Schizosaccharomyces pombe: one gene and its partner. The gene in region 1 interacts genetically with each later gene. Each region holds a gene or a part of one and is shown on either strand. Other genes may lie near its edges.

The links.
Region 2: mutations in SPOM_SPCC4B3.13 (region 1) and oca2 together harm fitness more than expected from each alone (negative genetic interaction), as found in Schizosaccharomyces pombe (one large-scale study listed by BioGRID).

Annotation. Positions count from the first base shown.
Region 1 is NC_003421.2:1,145,376-1,155,927, reverse strand, and holds SPOM_SPCC4B3.13 (MatE family transporter), read left to right. Parts: upstream 1-2,000; 5' UTR 2,001-2,065; coding exon 2,066-3,685; 3' UTR 3,686-3,971; downstream 3,972-10,552. Other genes in the region: histone lysine H4-K20 methyltransferase Set9, read left to right, coding at 322-1,647; protein Cwf20, read left to right, coding at 4,214-5,086; anillin-related medial ring protein Mid1, read left to right, coding at 5,713-8,475; TIP41 type 2a phosphatase regulator Tip41, read left to right, coding at 8,787-9,545; ubiquinol cytochrome-c reductase assembly protein Cbp3, read left to right, coding at 10,021-10,552.
Region 2 is NC_003421.2:754,436-767,234, reverse strand, and holds oca2 (serine/threonine protein kinase Oca2), read left to right. Parts: upstream 1-4,610; 5' UTR 4,611-6,381; coding exon 6,382-8,334; 3' UTR 8,335-8,867; downstream 8,868-12,799. Other genes in the region: heterotrimeric G protein beta subunit Gnr1 , read left to right, coding at 1-1,065; protein Emc6, read right to left, coding at 9,374-9,384, 9,474-9,729, 9,811-9,870; xap5 (splicing factor, xap-5-like protein), read right to left, coding at 11,049-11,766, 11,830-11,978; SPOM_SPCC1020.13C (DDHD family phospholipase), read right to left, coding at 12,604-12,799. UniProt on the Schizosaccharomyces pombe protein: Overexpression causes cell cycle arrest.

The DNA of each region.
Region 1 (10,552 bases):
ATATTTAATTACAACGTTCAGACTTTCGTGGATTCTTTTATTTAAAACGAGAATAATTAAATTTCGCTAATTAGTCGATTTCCTAATAAGTGATTGTGTTGAATTGTTGTGTTCAAAAACATTTTTGTATTTGCCAACGCAGAAATATATTACATATTTGGATAAACTATCGAGTTCCTAACCTTTATTTTCTGAGCAAACTCATATAAACCTATAATTTATACATCAAGATTACTCATCGTTGTTCAACTGGAAAGGTACTTTTAACATTGAATGTTTCATGACATTTTGATACCTGCCTAACGCCTATGAAAATGCATAATGCGCCAGACGAATACTCATCTTGAAACGTTTTCTCTTTTTGACGATGTTTGTACTTGTTTGCTAGTTGACAAGGTGTTTTATTGGTCCCAAATTCATAAAGTACGAAAATTAGTGGATCGATCAATTGAGCGAATGGAAAGCTGTTCTATTATAAATATTATAACCAAATATATTATAGAGCAAACAGACCTTGACCAAGCGGCAAAAAATATTCTGCAATTTCGTGAACTTGATCCATTGTTGCGGAGATTGTCAAGCACTTCTTTACTAGCATTTACTCGACATCTGAAGTACTACCTCTCATTATATCTACCATCATGCAAATTTGAAATTTGTTCAACAAACCAATACTTTTCTTCCTCAAAGCCTGAAGCTTGCGTAATAGCGCGTGAATCAATTAATGCTGGAGAAGATATTACAGACCTCTGTGGAACAATTATTAAGTTATCTCCTAAAGAAGAGCGGAATATAGGAATTGGAAAAGACTTTAGCATCCTTCATTCAAGCCGCTTAGATTCGATGTGTCTATTTTTGGGCCCTGCACGATTCGTTAATCATGACTGCAATGCTAACTGTCGATTTAACACTTCTGGTAAGCGCATTTGGCTGCGCTGTGTAAGAGACATAAAACCAGGTGAAGAAATTACTACCTTTTATTCTTCTAATTACTTTGGCCTTGAAAATTGTGAATGCCTTTGTGTCTCATGTGAACGAATGGGCATCAATGGTTTTAAAAAGCTTTTCCATACTAGTGCTACTTCAACAAGTTGTTCTTCCAAGAGTAGTTCTGATGTTTCCGATCTGTCTTCTTTGCCGCAGTCAAATCGTTACGTGATTTCCGAGGAAGATCGTAGCTTCTTGAATATTTGGGATTCAGGTGGTGAACTGAGTGATGCGTCCAGTTCTGATTTGGATGAGGAGTTTTCACTATTTATACCAAGGCACAAAAAAAGGGTGTGGTCTCGAGAAAAAAGGCTTTTGTCTGAGATGGCCATAACGAACCATAGTCCGTTACTGAATGTGGATGATTATCGAAAATTTCGTGAAGATCTATGGAAAAAAAGACATGGAAAAAGAAAGGTTTACCAATGCTCAAACTGTAGCCAGACATTTATTAATGAAGACATTCAAAATTCGAGTGCATTTTGTCCGAAATGTATTAGACATTCTAAACTCTTTTCATTACCTTGGCCTTGTAGACATAAAGTTAATCGTGAATTGAAACTAGAGAAAGAAAAGGAAATTAATACAAAAAGGAACTTAGTTACCAGCTCGCATAGTATGTCTCTGCGACACAAAAAAGCTGTTGATTATCAAAGTTAGTTGACTAGACTATTTATATTAAGATTGGAAATTTTGGTTAATTTAGGTCATTGTTAGTTGGACTTTAAAGCATTTATTTAAAAAAAAAAAACTAAAATCTTGCACTATTCAGGGTATATCCGAAGGTGAACAATGTACATTTGAATCATTCCGTTCGCTAATTCAATCTATTGTTGATTTTTTCATGGGATTCACCACCTCTATTAACTAAATATTTGAATGCTTTTAAATTCAATAAATTAACGTTCAATGTATTGACTTGTTTTAATATACTACGTTTTTATAACTGAGGGAAATTTTGGTTGTGTAATATGTCACTATATAAGCTGTGCCCGGTTGGCCTCACAAACTTTACTAGCATCCACAAGTTTTTTAAACTTGACCCCCTTTTCCTTTAACTTTATCAGACATATCCATAATGGAAGGGGAAAATGATCCTTTATTAGGATCTTATAAGCCTAAACGAAGAAGATCGAGTCTTGTTTACGGTTTGTCAAGACCCCAATTTCTTGACACCGCAGCTTCGGAAGTTTCACCTATTCCACAAGAAAGACCCACTACTTCCTTAAGAAAGCCTACACCTAGGGTACAAAGACCTGCGACTGATGTATCATATGGCGCTTTAGAGGAAACAGAAGAAAACGAATCTATTGCGAGTGGCCTTTCAGTACAAGAAGACTTTAATAGCAAGGCATGGTGGAAAGAATTAACATTACTTATTAAATTCGCAACCCCTGTTGTATTAACGTCTTTACTTCAGTATGGTGAGGTGGTTACTACTGTTTTCTCTTTGGGCCACTTGGGTAAAACAGAGCTTGCGGCTGCAAGTCTGTCTAACATGACTGCCACAATTACGGCTTTTGCTATTTATCAGGGGATTGTATCTGCTTTGGATACCGTTGGAACTCAAAGTTTCGGATCTGGAAATTACGAAATGGTGGGTTTACATTTACAGAGGATTCTGGCCATATTGTTGTTGATACAATTCCCTATTTTCTTGATATGGTGGAAAATAGAGGGCATACTTTTATTCCTTAGACAGGATCCTCTTACTTGTATGTTTGCGGCAAAGTATATGCGAGTAATGATGTTGGCTAGTCCGGCATACGCATTATTTGAAGCACTAAAACGTTTCCTTCAGGTGCAAGGTATATTTCATCCTGTAACATACATTTTAGCAATTGTTGTACCTATTAATATTTTTCTTAATTACCTTTTTGTGTGGAGTCCCTGGGTTGGTTTCGGTTTTCTAGGTGCACCGGTCGCTGTAGCATTAACGCTATGGAGTGCTTGTGCTGTTCTAATTATCTATATTATGAAGGTAAACGGACGACAAGCATGGGGAGGTTTTAGTAGAGAAGCATTAAAAAATTGGGGCCCGTTATGTCGATTGGCTGTTCCTGGTGTAATTATGATTTGCAGTGAGTACTGGGCTTTTGAACTCGTTACTTTCGCATCGGGCGTGTTGGGTACCACTGAATTAGCCTCTATGTCTGTTTTGTCTACTACCTCGACCCTTTCTTATAATTTGGCTTTCGGTGTCGCTGCTGCAGCTGCCACAAGAGTAGGAAATTTAATTGGTGCTGGAAATACGAAACTCGCTAAGCTAGCTACGCACGTTTCTATCAATTTAGGTGCTGCAATTGGTGTTATCATTGCTGTAATCCTTTTTTTAACTCGCAACACATGGACTTACATTTTTACGTCTGATAAAGATGTCGTCGCATTGGTTGCAACTATCATTCCCCTTGTTGCACTCATTAATATTGCCGATAATACACAATGTGTAGCTGGAGGCCTTCTTCGGGGACAAGGAAGACAAAGGATTGGTGGGGTAGTAAATTTCATCGCATATTATTTATTGGGTTTGCCTGTTGCCATAATCCTTTGCTTCAAGCTAGATTGGGGGCTGTACGGTTTATGGATTGGAATTGGAGCTGCAATTCTAATTATTGCTGGAGTAGAAACTTGGTGCTCATTGCATGTCAATTGGGACCATTTAGTTGAACTTGCTAATCGTCAGTTTGATGAGGCTTAAAAGTTGATACGGACAAGTTAATGATTATTTAAATATGTATTGTGGTTTGTCATAAATTGATATATTTGAAGAGATATGTTCGGTTTATGATACCATGGTTACGACTACTAACAGTTGATTGATAAAAGTATTCGAGTCGGTACTTTTTCCAGTCTTCAAGATTTGGCCATGTTTTGGCCTATCCTAAAAATTAAGTTTACGAAAATTGCAGTGCTTTAAACTCTCATATTTATGAAGCTTATAAAAGTAAATTAAATTAATGGTAATTTGGAATCTTTTTGGGTGATTAATATATAAAATACCACATATGCTAGCTAGCAACGTTGGGCGGTAGCATTCAATTAAATATTATTTCTTTTTAAGACTTACTTAAAGAATTAATTTAAGTTTGAATAAATATGTAAATCATCTTGCAGATGCGAGTATATTAATTGCCATAAATAATTCTGTTCGCAGTGAGAATAGTTACCGAGTACAAATCGCTCGCTCAGAATTATTAAACGACTTAATATCAAAAGTTAATAAAATATGTCTCTGGTTTCATATCCTCGATCAGAATCCGAAAGCGATATTGAAGAAGAAACACCATTAGCTTCTAAAAGTTTCGATCCTACTTTGTTTCAGCATGCGCGCAGAAAATTGTCGGTTGACAGCACTAAAAAGTCACCTAAACGCCTGAAACGGCAAGTTGATTTACAGAAATCTTCTTTTAATGATAAAACTTTTAATGAATCTGATGTTATCTCTAATGAACGATTTAAATCTAATGATTTACTTGAACTTTTGCCTGCCCCAAAAAATCAAGCTGAATTAGCTCCAAAGTCATCTAAAAGATCGGACCTTGATTTAAATGAAAACTATTTATTACCTAATAACTCTGTAAGCGATTTAACCTCTACTGGATCCTCCGAAACTGTCAAGAAATCAACGTATTCAGAAAAGTCTGGTAACGTTTCGTTATTTAATATCGTAGGATCAGAGTCAAAGCAAGCCTCTTTAGTAGATTCCGATCAGAAACCTTACCAACCAATTTTGATAAAACCTAAAGCTAGAGCAAATCCTCCGAAATTGAGGAATCAACCCGAGAACGATTTCATTTCTATTGCTAATCACTCAGTACATTCAAATGCAGAGGACATAAACATTATCAATGAAGATTACATTGAAATTGGACGCCACCGAAAAGAGAAGGGACGAATTATAGACGTTGATATCAACAAACTTCCAAAACCGACCCAAGAAGCATTGCCAAGCGCCCCTACTATTAAAAGTGTTGCACCTGGTCGTCATCAACTGTCTTCTCTTGTTGAAATGGCTATCAGTCAAAAAGACAACTTTGAAGCTTATTTTGAGCAGCAACGATCAAACAAAAAGGCATCTTCTCAAAAGTATGGGTTTTAGCTTTAAGTAAATGTTACGCCCCGATAGTTAGTTTTAGGTTTTAACTGCTCGTGTATTTGTAAATTAAAAGCTGTTTATCAACAGATTCATTTTATGTATTTTTTTTTAGTTTCTGCGAAAATAGCAGACAACAAAATATGATTTTACTTATTTTATTTTACATACTAATGACTTTATTCATCGCTATTCATAAGCATACTGATAATACAATATTATCTTTGCAAGTATGTCCCAGCTATAATTCATATTTGCAATGCAACTAGCCTTTTTTTGTTAATTTTAAAAAGGAAACTTGGCTTTAATCTTCGATTTATGGTATATCCAGAGTTTGAATTGTTTAACCATATAATCAGTGTTCTCACTGGGACTACCACTTATCATAGCGTCTACCGATTTTGTGTGACCTATGCCTACTCCACATGACTGAGGTGAAGAAGGATTTCAATAAATTATAAGAGGTTTTCGTGCTTTTAGCATCAATTTTAATAGAATTTGAATTAATATTTGCTATAAAGAAGAAGGCTCGTCTTTTGTTGTACTTCAGGGTGCTTATATGATACTGTGTCCACATTTTAACACTCGATAAGGTATTATAGTCTGTAAAGTCTAATTAAGCTATCCTGACGATGAAAGAGCAAGAGTTCTCATATAGAGAAGCAAAAGATGTGTCTCTTGACTCTAAAGGCTTAGAAAACAGTTTTCTTTCTTCTCCAAATCGAGAAAAAACACCCCTTTTTTTTGAGGGTAACAGTAATGAAACCTCGGGATATGATCAAACAAAAAACTTTACACATGGAGATGGCGATATGTCCCTTGGAAACCTTTCGGAACTAAACGTTGCGACAGATCTTTTAGAGTCACTTGATTTAAGAAGCATGTATATGCATGGCTATGGGCACCTCGATTCATCTTTTTCTTCTCAACATAGTCCTGATAATCGTAAAAGAATGAGTAGTACATCAGTGTTTAAGAGGATTAATTCCGAGGAAGAAGGTCGCATTCCTAGTTTGACGTACTCGGCAGGAACTATGAACTCGACAAGTTCTTCTACTGCGTCTTTGAAAGGTGCTGATATTGTTGCAGATTATGAAACATTTAATCCGGATCAAAATTTAGCTGAATTATCCTTTGACCGCTCCAAATCGTCTCGCAAGAGGGCGGTAGAAGTAGCAGAATTTAGTCGAGCTAAGACAATGTCTCCGTTGGAATACACTGTTCAACATCCATATCAATCCCATAATGAACTGTCTACAAACCCAGCCCGAGCAAGAGCTGGAAGCGTTCCCAACTTGGCTCGCATACCATCTGATGTCAAGCCCGTACCTCCAGCACATCTATCTGCATCTTCTACTGTAGGTCCAAGGATTCTTCCTAGTCTTCCCAAAGATACCACAGAGGACAATCCAGCGTTGGAAAGGGTCGAAACGACGGCGTCTCTCGATATGGATTATAAACCTTTAGAACCTTTAGCTCCCATTCAGGAAGCCCCTGTTGAAGATACTTCAGAGCCTTTTTCTTCAGTCCCAGAGGCCACCTTAGACGACTCAGATATCTCTACAGAAAGTCTTCGTAAAAAGGTTTTGGCCAAGATGGAAGCAAAACGGATTTCCAGTGGATCTTCCTATGCTAGTACACTTAGGAAAGTTTATGATTTCTCTGAGCTTTCCCTTCCCACCAACGGTAAAGACTATGATGAGTTATACCTTCAATCTTCCCGTAATTCAGAACCTGAGATTTCTACTATTATCAATGATTCTTTACAACAGGAAAATATGGATGAGGATATTAGTGCCACTTCAATTCCGAAATCTCAGGCCGCCTATGGTCATGGATCTGTAACGTATCATGAAGTCCCCAGATACAATCTAACTTCTGCTTCCGTGGGATATAGTATATCTAGTCAACGTGGTCGTATAAAAAGCAGTTCTACCATTGACAATTTGAGTGCTATTTTAAGCTCTGAAGATTTACGTCACCCATCAATGCAACCCGTACCAGGAACGAAGCGTACTTATAGTAATTATTGTGAAAATGAGCCAAACAAGTCTAGCCAAAGTTTAGTCAGTTCTGAGTCCCATAACGTCGAAGGATGGAATTATTCGGAAACTGGTACAGTAGGTTTTTACGACCCTAGTGCCGAGATATCCGCCAGCATTGATGAACTTAGGCAGTCTACGCCTGTAGCCAGAGATAGCGAACTTTTAAGTCGTGCACATTCCTTTGATTTGAATCGCCTTGATCTTCCAAGTCAGGATAAGAGTACGTCTTACGAAGTCCCGAATGGTACTGAAAATCAATCACCACGTCCTGTTACTTCTCTTGGATTTGTGAATGAAACATTTTTTGAAGAGAAACCAAAGGCGCCCTTGCCACTTGGTCGCTTTTATATACATTTGAACAGCATTTTGAATATTTCGATAAGTGAAGTCCATTCACCTATCAAGATAATAGTTAATACGCCTACGCAAAATATGCAGCTTCCTTGGCAAGCTGTTAATGGGAATAATAGGTTGGACCATGATTTTGCTTTTCATGTTGACGATAACTTTAAAGTGAGTTTTATGTTTCTTGACATCCCTATTGAGGACAAGTCCAACGGTTCGAAAGGAGTATCTGCTACAAAAGACGTTTCAAACGGTAAGCCTGCTGAAACGAAATCCAAAGCTAGGAAATTTTTTGACAAGCTTTTCAACCGACGCAAAAAGAGAAAACTCAACAAGGCTGCTGCAGTTGAGAATTCAAAGGCTAAGAAGTCAGTGGTTATCAAGAAAGTCTCGGGTACTGCTACGTTAAATTTGGGTAATGTCAAAGACAGTTGTTTTGGAAAGGCTTTCAACGTAGAAATACCCATCATTTCCAGAGGCTTCTTGGAAGCGATTCCTGTAAAAATAAACTCTATAGGGAAACGTACACTTGGTAATCTAACTTTGACTTGTTTGTATATTCCTGAGCTTTCGGTTCCAGAGCAGGAATTGCCATTTACCTTAGAACAAGCTACGATGGACTTGCGACACGTTAGAAGTAACTATCTATATAATGAGGGATACTTGTATAGATTGGAAGATTCATCTATTCGAAGACGTTTTGTCGTTTTACGCTCAAAGCAGCTGAATTTTTATGCTGAAAAAGGTGGGCAATATTTGGATACTTTTCAGCTTTCTAAGACAGTAGTTTCAATCCCAATGGTAAATTTTTCAGAGGCAGTTTCAAACCTCGGTCTAGTAGCTGGAATATTGGCTACATCTGTTGATAGAAGGCATGTTCAGTTGTTTGCGGACTCTAAAAAGGTTTGCCAAAAATGGCTTCAGGTGATGAATTCACGCTCGTTTGCTCTAGATAGGGGTACTGAGAAATTATGGTTACAAGAATACGTGAATTTTATGGCTTAATATCTGAATTTATGAATACTAATCGTCTTAATGTATTTTTTGAATAATTTTTACTTATCGGATTTACTAAATGAGGGAGTTGAACTGAAATTATATAACTACTGAATTAATACTTATAGATCATTTTTCATTTTTAATCTGAATAATTAATCAACTTTTGGTTTTTTGAATATACTCTATAATGAGTAAAGTAATATAAAGGTGTTTTGTGTTGGCTAAATTTACATTACCTATATTTTGCCGTACGCACTCTAAATTGTTACAATAATATAGGGGTCAAGCAACTACTCAAATCACATTATTTAAAGGAGATGCAAAAACAAGATGATTTTTCATTTAAATATTGGACTATCAAAGTCCAACGGGGGTCAATTTTAAAAAGCCATGAGATGGAGAACCTTCAAAGTACATTGGGTTTTCCACCTCCTGAGATGACCTTTGGGAATAATTACATCTCAATTGAATACAAGAATCAGCCTGTAGTTGGATTTTTTACTGAAGATGCTCTTAAAATGGTTGGTACCAAACCTGAAGATGTAATGCAAGTTTCTTTTGCAAAAGACTGGGCCAAATCCAGAATTAAGCCCGGAGAAGAATACCCTGTGATTTACCCATTTGATTGGACTTATTATACTGATTATCAGGGAACTATACAACGTCCAAATGCAAAATTCATTGAAATTGATCAGGTAATACCTGTTCAAAAAATACTTAACGCAGGACAAAATTTATGGTTCAATGAGATAATTCTTTTCGAAGATGAGTTAGCAGATAATGGAAAATCAATGTTTGATGTGAGAGCTCGAGTTGTTCAGGGTCATTTAATATTGTTAGCACGCCTTGTCGTACGTTTAGACAAGGTAAATGTTCGATTGAATGAGACGAGGATATATATTGATTTGTTGAATGATTTTCTCTTGAAGGACTGCCGTAAAAAGCAAGCTACTTACGACAAAATTATTAAACAAATACCTGTGGGGGGAGACAAAGCTGCATTGCTAGATGATAACAATTGGTTAAGTGAGCGCCTTGATACCGTTGACCATAAAATCTATAAATTGAATTTTTGATGCTAAAATGATTCGCTAATGGCAGACATGAGAATTTAGAACTTTTGTCAACGAATGAGTGTTGAAGCAATTTACAAGTTTATTACGTTTAGTTCATGGTAATATTTATAATCATTTTCAACTAAGAGGTTATTAATTTAGGTTTTCTAATTGAGAAAGCAAAATAAATAGATACAATCTTTGGTACGATTAAACGGCGAAGATATACTACTGAAACTGCAAACAAATTTAAAATGGTCCAGTAAATTTTAGAGTATACTTAATTAGGAAGAATGATGGCCTCGTAATATTGATCGTTCGTTATAACATTGTATTTGGCAATCAACCTGTCACAACCTCTCTTCCCCTTTATATTGTACGACATTAATCGATCCGTTTTTTATTTCAACCCAACTCCTACGTATTTATTTGCAGGTAATAATTAATTTTATTAATTAAGAAAAGATTATCAAAAGATCCTTATCGTCATTCAGTAATGAGTCGCTGCTGTTTAAATTTGCCATTGAGACCAGCATTTGTTAAGCAGCCGGTATGGGGGAAGAGTATATACGGTCCCTTAAGAAGAAGATTTTCATTTTCTCCAATAAATGTTATTAATCATTCACCTTCGGAAACGAAGAGAAGAGACCCAGTAGAAGAACTCAGATACAAACCCCTTACACCTCCTCAAGATCCACGTAAAGTGGCTCCGCCAAATAGTTTTCTAAAGAAAATAAGTCTTATTTATCAAAAATATATCTCTCCTAAACAAAATTTATATTATGAGGCTACTGGTACTGCAAGATACATGTATTTTGAGGCTGCTCGACAAGCTACCCCCGAAAAAAACTCGCTAGGTGCTTTTGAATTTTGGTACCAGAAGTGTGAAATTCCTATGACATTTCAGTCTTGGTTTCAAATAACGCAATTACATTTGTGGATCCTCCATACTCGCATTCGTGGTTTGCCAAAAAATGAAAAAGTTGCCTTTTCACAGGCATTAACTACTCGTTTCTTTGAAGACATGG
Region 2 (12,799 bases), 390 kb from region 1:
TTGAATTTTTTTCATTCGTCAAGATGGTCGCCGGATGGATCGACTATACTTTCGTTAACAGAGGATCAATGTCTTAACTGTTGGAATGTGCCGTTTTCCGATTTATCCAAAAAGGCTGATGGACCATTGAACTTTTCAAAACATCTGTCGTATAAATATCAATCACCGGAAACAGTTTACAGTTACAGTTGGTATTCGAGAATGAAACTTGACGATCCTTCCAGTAACCTTTTTGCAGTGTCTAGTAGGGATCAACCTATCAAGTTGATCAATTTTACTACAGGAAAGAACAAGGCTTCATATCACATGATAGATCACCAAGAGAGATATCAAGGATCGCATTGTTTACAGTTTACCAACGATGGGGAGTATTTGATTGCGGGTGATAAAAACTGTCTCCATCATTTTAATATAAGAACGGGATGTAAAGAACCTGTCATGACAACGGTAACCCATGGATATAAAGTCCCTCTTTGGGAATTTAGTCTTAAGGGTATACAGTCATGCTTTTCCTTGAATCCGATGGATTCGAAAACATTGGCAGTGGGAACGTATTCAAATCGAGTTGGGATTTATAATGATTGCGGACGTCGCCCTTGTCAGCTAGAGTTTTCGATTGAAAGAGGAAACGGAGTGACACATCTACAATGGTGTGAGGATGGAGAAAAGTTATATGTTGGAAGCAGATGCAGTGATAAGATTGAAGTTTGGGATATACGGTATGTGCGCGACATGGTATATGCTCTTGAAGGGCATCGTGGCGATACGAACCAAAGGATTCTTTTCGACACTGATAAAAAGGATGAAATTTTGGCAGGTGGGACGGATGGAAGTATTCGTAGATGGAGAAACAAGGATCTTGTGGAAGAAACGCATGTGACGGGAAATTACGATTTGACGGTAAACACAGTACAAGCGAACCCTATAAACATGCAGATAAAGTGTGTATGTTATGGAAATAGAATTTACAAGTATGAGAAGGATGAAAGTGAAGAAGAGGATGAAAGTAAAGAGAAGGATCTTTGGACAGGAACGGTTTCGGCTTTACAGGTTTGGATGGATTGAAAAAGCAAAATTTGGAATGAATGAATACTTGAAAAAATAAAAAATGGTGAGCTTGAAGGAAGAACTTTATGAGGATGATTTGATTATTAATAGAAAAACATTAGAAAACCGGTTCTAAATTGGTGTATTGGTGAATGGGTGTTTTTTTCGCAATCAGGAGGAGTCCTCAGACATGTTGAGGGGTTTCATTATTTAGATTATGATAAATTAAAAAATAAAAGAGATGAATTTTATGCAAATAGTTGATTATAAGAGCGCAACAATCTTTGTATTAATAAAACTACACATTCGCTTATTAAATAACCTTAAACTCGGTTATACATGGATTTCCAAGTGTCGCAAGTAGAGGAGAAATGGAGAAAATGGAAAGCAAAGAATGGATGAAAATTGTAAATCAGCAGTTTCGAACTTTTCAAAAATTTGTTAAAAATATTAATTTTTCAATTTAATTGAATTTTGTTTTACAAGGTGGATACTATGGAGGAAAAAACAAGATATGTATGGAAAAGGTAGCGATCGCAAAGGAAAAAAAATATTAGAAAAGGAAATGGAATGAAATTAATTGAACGAAATGAAAAGGACATGAAAATAAACAGAAGTATAGAACAAGAAAAAAAAAATTTTTTTTTAAAATAACATAAGGATGGAAGTGATCCGGAGTGAATAAATAGAGGGAAATGAAAAAAATAAATAAATAAAAAATAAATAATAAAATAAAAAATATTTATATACACATACATATAGATTGGAAAAAGATGAAAGAAAAAAAATGAACCAACCAATCTATCAATAAGTAAATCAATTAATCAATAAATATATAAAAATAAAAATTCTAAAACCAAGAAAAAAAAAAGAAAAAGAAAAAAGATTGAAATCTTATAAACAAATCCTTCTACGCTGCATACAAACACGTTACCACAGTCTGGAGTACTGTTGGAGAGTGAACCGAGACAGCCGCGGGGCGGTCCTTCGGCGAAACCAACGAGACGTTAAATATTTGCGATAATATTGTATAGTGCAAGTATGATAAAGACCGGTAACAAAAGTATAGCGGAAATTGAAAACCAAGTGCAAAATCTTCCAACGAGCAAAAGGTGTTACCCAAGCACGTCAGATGCATCAACCGAAGCAAAAATGTTTAAACGCAGATGAAAAGCTTATTGGAAGAAAAGTAAATTTAAGGCCAACGATTGGAGGAAGGAAAAAGTTTGATGGGGCAGATCCATTATGTTACACCTTGACTTTGTCGGCAATCAAGTCAAGTCAAGTGCCGAGGGCGCGCCAAGGTGGGTAAAGAAAGAGACAAGAGCAATACCGTGACGATCGGAAAAACCATTACCGAGAAATAAGGAAGGCCGGTAAATGGAATGAAACGTGGAGCGGCCAAAGGAAGAGAGAGAGAGAGAGTAGGAAAGAGTGAGCGAAGAAGGTGTCTGTCTGTAATAAGAGGAAGAAAAAGATGAGATGAAAGATGGATAGAGAGAGAATTGTAAGACATTGATAGAAACATTGATGGATTGGAAAAGAAAAAGAAGAAAAATCAAAAAGATGTTGGCAATTGTTTTGAATTCTAGTCAAAGAGTGAATGTTATATGTTTTTATGCTTAAAAAACAAAAAAACCATTCGAATGTAAGAAATGGTTTGAAGCAATATAGCCAGCGAATAAAAAATAAAAAATAAAAAATAAAAGGAAAAACCGTTCGATTCAAAGCAAAGTACAAACAAAGCCACAAAAGGATCTTACTAATAACGAATGCTACAAAAAACTAGACCAACTAACTAAACAAGTAGCAAAGGGATATAAAGAGGTACAGCGAAGTCACTGAAAAGATGAAGATAACGAGATATACAGATGTCATTAAAAGAGTGGTATAACGAAATATAGTGATATCACAAACCCACAGAATTTTAGGGCTGGTAAGAAAAGTAAAGAGAAGAAAAACAAAACAAAAGAATAAAAAAAACAAAAAAACAAACAAAAGGAAAGGCTGATGTGCATATAGTCTCAAAAGTCAATCGAGTTTAGTTTTACTTTTTCATGAGCATCTAGCATTTGCTCTTGTTTTGTGTTCGGCCGTCTGACTGTTTGGATGAGGAAGAAGAAAATTTTGTAGGGCGGCCGTGAAAGAAAAGGAAACAAAGGAAAAATTAAAAGAAAATAAATAAAATCGAATTAAATTAAATTAAATTAAATTAAATTAAACGAAATAAAATAAAATAAAATAATAATAAAAATAAAAATAAAATAAAATTGTAATTGTAATTGTAATTGCATTTGCTTTTGCTTTTGCTCTAGAAATGCTCCAATGTCTTTCCCTCGTACTAGTGTCATTGTCAGGATGCTGGATGGGCGAGATGACAAACGAGGAATAGTGTGTGCAATAAACAGGAGAGAGAAAGGCAAGTGAGAAGCAACAAGAGTTGAATCAAACTGAATTGAATTGAACCAAATTATTATTCTTCTTATAATCAAATTATTATTCCTCTTTAATCAAATCACTATTCCTCTTTAATCAAATCACTATTCCTCTTTAATTAAATTCCCATTCCTCTTGCTTACTGCCGCTCTTTTTTTCCCCCTCCCCTTGTTTAGATTTGGGTTGCTGAAATTTTCTTTTCTTTTTTTCATCCTCCTCCTCCTCCTCCTCCTTACTTTATTTTGTGTTTAACTTTTTTTCCCTTCTTTCCTTCAACTTTAATAAACCCGATCATTCCTTCCGATTGATCCTCTGCCAAATTTCCACCAAACGGTCGGATCCAAATTCAATGGAAAAGGAAGCGACTGGCGGTCGCACGAAGCAATGACCATGGCAGATGGATGAAATGATAACATCAACGGAATTAATTTCCTGACAAATGATGATACAAAGTATTGAATGAAACATGTCAATCATCATTTACTTATCTACATTTCCCACACTCTAGTGAATTTCATACTTTAGCTAATTTCAACACTTTAGCTCTAGCTACTCTTCCACCTCTTTAATTTTTTCTTTAGCTCTCTCCATCTCTCTATCTCTTATAACAATCTCTTTTTTTATACGTTATTCATCTTTAACCTCTCCCTTTCATCCCATCTCAATTCCTCCTTCGACTCTCAATCGCCCCCCATCTACCTTCTTTCGCTCTCCTTCTCCCCAACGAGGTCGCGTTCCTCTTCGCTATTCCCCTCTACTCCCCTCTCTCGCCCCACACACCGCCTGTCTCGCTCACTCAACTCCCTTTCGCCCTCCCCCACGTCATCCCCCCTGCTTGCTAGCGTTTAGCCTTTCGTTCTTCCTCTCAGCGTTTAGCGCGGTGCAACGGATTGTGGAGTCGCTCGCCGGAGGTAACACGTTGTAGCCGAACTAAAAGTGACATCATACTTCGGCACTTGCATGGGTGGGATTCCCGGAGATCGTGTGGATTTGCTAGCTCCTCCATCCAATGCGACTCGGCAGTTGATGTAGAGCGGCCATTCGAGATTACATGGGAGATGCTGTAGTAGACTGCGTGTTTCGTATACATATATTATATACACCTGCCGTGCACCGCAATACTTTTTGCCTTTTCCCATCCACTTTTTTTCATAGTATTGTTGAGAGCCACATTGATTGATTCCTTTTTATCAAGGAATTGAACCTGTTTCTCGTCGTCTTTTTTTTTTTTTTTTAAACTAGCAAATAAAAAAATTCATTGTAAGATTTGAATTATACTAAAAAGCTCTACTTCACTCCCCCGTCAGTCATAGTCCAACAACTTTGACTCAACAAAGCAAAAGCAAAAGCAAATCAAACCATACGATACGATACGAAAAACGAAAGTTTTTTTTGTCCATTGCATTGCTTTGATTCCCTTTGGTCTATCTGCCTTTGATTTCTTTTCTGGGTAAAACAGGAATTGAAAGAATTTTGAGAAAGTAAACGAAAAAATAAAGATTGAATAAAGCATAAAGATCTTATTTCCCATCAAAACATTGTTGTTATTGTTGTGATTTCTTCTGAAAAACAACAAATCAATTTCCAACTTTTCTATTCATTTACGCTTTTTTCCAATTCCCTTAATTTTCCATCCATCCATCCATCCTCATTGAGTCGAATTCTTTCTACTCAATTTGCCATTCGTCCCTTCACCCTTCCTATTCCACTCCCTTCTTTCCGGCTTCTTCCGTTTCGTTATTTGGTGTGATCGGTATCCCGAAAGTGAGTGAGTGAGTGAATTGTGTGATTCTCTTTCCCCCTTGGTATTCTTCCTTCAATCAACATTCTTTCGAATTCCCTTTTTGGGTTGATTTGTTCTTTGTTGTTGTTTTTTTTGTTTTGTTTTGTTTTTACGTACGTTCTATTTTCTATGAATACATAGAATTTCCTGTTTCGTAATCTCAATTCATTTCTCATTTTTCATACTTTATTTGAACCCAAGGTTTTCACACTTTTTCTTTATCTTCTCTTTTTTTTTATTTCCTTTGTGTGCTTTTCTTAAAGCCTCTTTTTTTTCCTCTTTGTGTGTCGTGATCGATCGGATCGTCTCGTCGGCTCACTTTACCTTGAATTTCTCCCTTTGGAAAATATCTACTGATATACCTATAAAAAGGTTCCCCATTCCCAATTAATTCCAGTATTGTTTTTTTTCCCTCTTCCTTATTTCCTTTTTTTTTTGTTCTTGAAATCTCTCATTCCTTTGTCGTTGCGCCAAAGAATTTTCCATAAACAATAACCAATTCGTTGTTGTCAGCGCTCGATTTCCCATCAAAAAAAAGTTATCTTCTTAGGAAATACTTATTTCTTTTCTCTCTTCAACCCTTTTCTTACTTGGAATTTATTTATTTATATATTTATTTATTCATTCTTCCCTTGTCATCCGTTGTTTTAAAAAAAACTCGCTTGACATTTCCTCAATTTCCCATCTCGTCTGACAGTATCTCCGTTACAAACTAATATCTGTCAAAAATCTTTGATTTTTCTCTACTTTCTCTTTGACGTGTTTGTTTATTTCTTGTGTTCCCATTCACTCCGTCTTGAGATTGCCTCTTTGAATCGTACTTTCTTACGCAATTGTTTTGTGTCGTACTTGAAAACTTGTATTGTTAAATAGTTTAACAACTACATTCCTTTGAGTTCATTCAAGTTTCTCTTTTGTATTTTCCTTGTTGTATTCTGAAGTTTTCTGTCTTTTTTCTTCCCTGTTTTTTACCTTTTTACCAAACCTTCCACTTGTTGTTTGGTTCATTGTAAAACACTTTTTTCTCTAATCTTACCGGTGGTTTGCTCTTCAGTGAACTAGAATATTTCTTTTGTTTCTTTATTTTACAATTGCACATGATTGCCGTTACGAACATGTCTGTCACCCCTCCCAATGTACAGTTTAACCTTAATGGGGATAGCGATCATAAATCAGACAATTCCAGTTCCTCACTGGAAAATAAACTTGACACTGAATTAAAAATAACGAGTCCTCCTCGTAACCCTCCTCAGCGTTTGCATCCTGTCGACTTTTCTGAGCACGCTGATACGGACGATGATATGAATCATCCTCTTCCCAGAGTTCAATCCCCCGTCCATATAAAGAATCACATTGACCCTAAACTTGCCGAGGATCGTTATCGTTCATCTGCTGCACGTCACTTCGAACCTATTTCCATTCCCCCTTCCGCTATCACCTCTGAGGATGAAGATGATTATCATGGCTCTGCTAATTCTTCTACCGTCCTTCCCCCTCGTACTGAAAATGCTTTACATGCTGCTAGTCCTAAACCTTCAGGTTCGACTGGTTACACCTCTCCTGCTCTTTCACAAAACAGCGGCAGTGGTGGTGAAGGCGAATCTGATGAAGGCTCTTTTAACACTCAGCATCATCGCTCCCCCATTTTTCAGGCATACCCTTCTTCAGAAGACCTTGTCGGCGATCCCAACGATCCTTATCGACGCACCCGCCGTGCTCCTATTAAGACAAATCCACATGATATCCCTTCACAGTTCATTTTCAGAAAGTTGGGTCTTCATCATGGAAAGCATGGTCATCATGGACACTCTGGTAGTTTATCGTTGAAATCTCTTGTTCCTAATCATCATGACAAGCATGATAAGCATGACAAGCACGAAAAACATCATAGTTCTTTAGATCTTCGTCGCTTTTTCAAATCCCATCAAAAGACAGACAAGGAGAAAAAGCCATCTGTTTCCAAGTCAAAATCTTCCGCTAACCTCCAAGATGATCATTTCGGTCTTTTCAAAAAATACGGAAAATTTGGAAGAATGCTTGGCTCTGGTGCAGGCGGTTCTGTCCGTATTATGAAGCGATCTTCTGATGGTAAAATTTTCGCCGTCAAAGAATTCCGTGCAAGAAGGCCTACTGAAACCGAGCGTGAATATGCCAGAAAGGTTACTGCTGAGTTTTGTATTGGTAGTGCTTTGCACCATACCAATATTATTGAGACCCTTGATATTGTTGAGGAAAATAAAAAATTCTATGAAGTTATGGAATATGCTCCATACGATATGTTTTCCATCGTAATGAGTGGTAAGATGACAATGCCTGAAGTTTATTGTTGTTTCAAACAACTTCTCTCAGGTGTTGCCTATTTACATTCGATGGGTTTGGCGCATCGAGACTTGAAACTCGATAATTTGGTTGTGGATAGTAATTGCTTTGTTAAAATCATTGATTTTGGTAGCGCTGTCGTTTTCAAATACCCCTTTGAAGCCGATATCGTTGAGGCCACTGGTGTTGTCGGTTCGGATCCATACCTTGCACCAGAAACCTTGGTCCGGAAACTATATGATCCTCGTGCAGTGGATATCTGGTCCTCCGCCATTATTTTCTGTTGTATGGCTCTTCGCCGCTTTCCTTGGAAATATCCCAAGCTTTCAGACAATTCTTTCCGTTTGTTTTGTATGAAACAGCCTTCAAATGATGCTGAGTCTCCCAGTGATATACTTGCTGACATAAAAAAACAGCGCTTAGTCGAGCAAGGATGCGAACCTATTAGAAAAACCGATGAATCACATAGTCCAAACTCTAAAACTGATAACTCTTCAACTCATAAACAAGAGTTGTATGGACCCTGGAGACTTTTGCGCCTACTACCAAGAGAAACTCGTGCTGTTATAGCTCATATGTTGGAGTTGGATCCTGTTAAGCGTTACGACATTCACAGGGTCTTTGCAGACAATTGGATTAATGATATTTCGATGTGCCATATGGAAAATGGTAAAGTTATTCATTCTCCAACACATGTCCATAATTTGGTGGCTTCAGAAGAGTCACCTGCTCCACCTGCAAAGCATTAAAAACTTATATTGTCTTTCCCACGTTTGTTTACAAAGTCGCCTTGGATATTGGTGATCTGTTAAACGATACCAAAAAATGAATAATGTGGTGGCTTGTTAATGAGCTAATCTCTTAATCGTTGACGGTGTAACTTAGTTTTCTTTTCAGACTTTTTTTATGTTAAAAAATACTTTATTCTTTGATTATTAGGGACATTTCAATTTCTTACTATAATCTCCTCTATTTAATAGTCAGTCCCTTTTTTATCAGCTCAACTTTATGATTGTTGGTGATTTTTTTTTTCTTTCTTTGGTTATTATATTATTATTATTGTCTTTGTGAGGTTAGCTTGTTTATGAGTTATTTATATGGTAAATAGGGGAAATCTACTGTGGTAGATTAAAAATATCTCTACAATTTTGAAAATAAATGTAAAATTGTCGCATCTTTGAATTTGGTTTTCATTTTTTAGTAAGTTTAGATAATACAATACAATTCATTAGTCTCAAAATTTTCAAAGATCGTGTTTGAATATGATATTTTGTCCTTTTCAACCGTTGTCAAAGTTGTTGCAAATATTGAATATATGCAGTGTTTACTTCAACTGTATAATAATGGTAAAACACGTGTTCAAAAAATAAATGCCTAGGCATCCATGTGCCCTGAAGCAGCTAGTTTTTAAGCACTAGAGACAATTTCTTAAAGAAGTAGAACATATCTCATGCAAAGTTTTCGAAATCAAATTTAAGGAAGACGACATGAATACAACGGAATGTGTGTGCTATGTTCTAGCATCGCTGACAGGACAAATATATTTTAAACAAATATCCTATTTTCTATAGGAAAAGTAAAGAAATGTAAAAAAACAGTTAGATTTGTGTTTTATTAGGAAATACAAAATATTTATAGGATGGGTTCACGAACAAAAGGAAGAGATCCACTTTTTTCTCAAACAATAGATCTTAATGAGGTATATGTGTTATTAACGAAAGGGCTGAACAAGAATAAGGAGGGTTCATCTTGGATTAATTGCCAAATGCATAAATCAAATTAAACACATTACTCATAAACTAATGACTTAGTTAGCGTGTAATTGTTTCAATGCGAGATCTGACTATTCAAACAAAATAAAATAGCAACGATCGAGCAAGTTTCTTACCATATACTAAACTGTAGAACAATGTCCAAGTTAAAACATAAGAAGGTGCGCCATCTAATATTTTAGCGATCCAAAACTTATATCCGGGCTGGTAATACTTAGTTAAGTTACCACGCATTTTCAATGCAAAGAGTAGAAAGGAGACGAAGAAGTAACCGAGTACATACAGAGCAAGCCCTTCATATGAAGTTAAACCCAAAATACCAGCTGCGCACCCGAAAAAACTAGAAGTCAAGTTTCGAACAAAAGAAACGACCTTTGGATTCATTAGCACTCAATTATAAAATCCTTAAAAAAACTAGTACCAAGAAAATCTAGCTCTGCAATCATTTCTTACCTGTTCATTATATGCAACATTTTCTACAACAATTGGAGCGACGCCTTTATCCCTTTCCATATTAGCTTATGAACAATTCTGATGTTTAGTTGAGTTCACCGCTTGTAGAATTATAACCAAAAAATGATGGATAACGCATCTTTATACTGCGGTATTAACTACATAAGGACTTAGTAGGAACGTAATTTTTTCGCAGCTTGACGTATCCTTAAAAGCATTTTGCAAACTGCGTAATTGCCAATCTTTCATGTAAAGCTACAAGCGATATGGATATGGGAAAAAGCATTACTTTTTGCTTGGGCTGAATGTTGGCTAGTTTGGAGGGTGAAATAGTTTATTCAATACAATTGAGTACTTTATTTTTTTCCATTTGATTTTTTTGAACAGAAATGGGCTAATTACTAGGATATTGGGAAATCGCATTGTTTAAAAGAGGTTCTCGTTTTACATCAAGGTCGATTTTTCATATTTATTTGTTTTAGAAAAAAGTATCATCTTATATTTCCTGTATTACTGGTTTTCTAATTCTAAAACTTGAAAATGGTGGATGAAACGTTACATACTAGATTGTTTACAGTATACCGAAAGGATTAGAGACTCGTGAACATTCGTAAAAGCGACATGCTTATACTTCCAAGAGAACGAAAAGCGAATTTCATTTCTTATTTACAATAGAATAGTTATTCTCATCATTCAGTCACGATCACTTTTTTCTTTACCAAAAATTGTATACCTAAATAGCACAGTATAATCCACCGCAAATTAACGTATCGTTAATATGTTTATGATCAAATACTATGTATTTGCATACCAACGCTGCGATACATTAAATAAAAACAAGCAGAAATATGAGAATTCAATAATAAAGGAAACATTTAATAATTCCAAAAGCGAATTGCTAATTTTTTAATTACTTTATTTTACAATATCCTATAGCACATCAATGAAATCAAGGTTTTCAGTCAAGGTTGGAGTGATGTTGAGAGTAGTAAGTGTAAATACTAAAACCCATTGCGAATACTTAGTGGATAATATCTGTTTCTTTTTTACCAAAGTCTCTCTCTTTGTATAGCTTATCAAGTTATATGTTTGGCGCAATTCATTTGTTTAAAATACAAACATAAAAACAATATAGTTGTAATGAAATTGTTATTAAATTAGTCGATGAGGGAAGTATGAGTATGCAAAACAAAAATAAAGAACCAAGAGAAAAAAAATCGAAAACTTTTTAAAAGGCATTATGAGGGCCGGTAAAATAATGCAGCGTTAGGATCAGTTGCATGCTTTTCCAATGAATAATCTTTTCGAGAATCAAAGACTTCCCAATGCACACATGGAAACACATGGCGATTTTGTAAATAATATGATTTTTGAACTAGATGAGGAATGCATTGAGAAGGAAGTTGTGTAGTTGCAACCATTTCTGGACTAGAGCATGACAGCTTATCAAAGTCAAATAAAAGTCCATCACGTCCTTGAACTTTATTAATGTAAAAGTAGTAAAGCTCATGGTGATGGGGAATGATTAAATCAGATTGAACCAGTAAAAATTTATCCATATCCAGAATCCTCTTCAAAAATGGGATTTGCTGTTTCATATCAGCAAGAAAGTGTCCAACCGAATCTTTCAATCTAGTCCTTACATGATAAGTGGTACTTGTTCCATCGTAATAGATAAATGGTATCAAAATCTCTTTTTCCCGAATTTGCTCCTGCTCTTTTAGCCATTGTTTGCGATATTCGGCTCGCTTCGCGTTTTCACGTATTTCTCGCTCTGCATCTGGCAAAAAGGAGGTATCCGCAGATGGATCCTTTCCCATAAACATTTTTTTCTCAACTTTTTTTAAAGGTAGATCATCATTCTCCAGTTCTTCATCTTCACCAAAAGAAAGTTTTCCTTTGTTAACTTTAATGCCCTGTTTGACCTTTTTGCTTAAAGCATCTTTTCTCTTTTTTCTAAAATTGAATTGTCAGTCATATTTAGAATACTATCGGGCTTTTCTCGTTCTTTTCACTTACATTTTAGTACTTGTGGTTGATAGCGCATGTTTCTCTCGTTTTTCAACGATGTTTTGTTTTACTCTTTGATAATCCTTTAAATGGACTAAACCAGTCGTACTATTTCGTAAAATCTCATGAATTTCATCGGCATCAGTATGGCCGCTCATTGTATGAAGAATTCAAAAAAACGTGAGTGGTGAGCGTTCTTCCAAATAAGCTTGAATACCCAAAATACCCTTTTTTTGCCTCGGTTTTCAAATCTCAAAATGAAAGAAATGACTATTACTATATTTATCGTAGAAGAAGAACATGTTTTTTACATTTACCTATGAGGGATCCTAGAATAAACGCACACTTTGCCAAAGTCACGTTGCATATAAGTTTTTTATATTTGTCAAAACGGTTATTAAATAGAATAACAACGAGGTGGGGCACTTTGAAGCATTCTGTAATCTTTAACTGCTTGTATAGACACTTTTTAAAACCAATCTAGAGACAAATAAAACGAATTACTCGTTTGTATTAACAAGCTTTGGAAAAATAGCAATAGATTAAAAACAAAAAAAAAACTAGCTAATCACTAGTGTTGCTATAAATACTCTAATAAATTTTCGTATCTGGTCATTGAATGCAAAACCATCTTTCGAATGCCAATATATAAAGTCATTAAAGTGATCCTAAAAAATCATCATTATCCAATGTTCATCAAATTCATTTTAATTTGTCCACTTCGCATCGCTAATAAATATGAAGCTCGCTGGTATACTGTCAGATAAAATAAAAAGAAAATTTTCAAGAGCTGTCCCCTTTGAATATACGTGGCATATGCTTTCCACGAAATTGCTCAATTGAATTGGCAATACCAAAGTTTCGGCCAGTTTCCACTACTAAAAAGCAAGCAAGATCCTCACTACTCCAGTAACTGCTATGAGCCGAAAGCATAGAAAGATATTTGTTTGAAATGACCCCATGGGCACTCGTAAATACG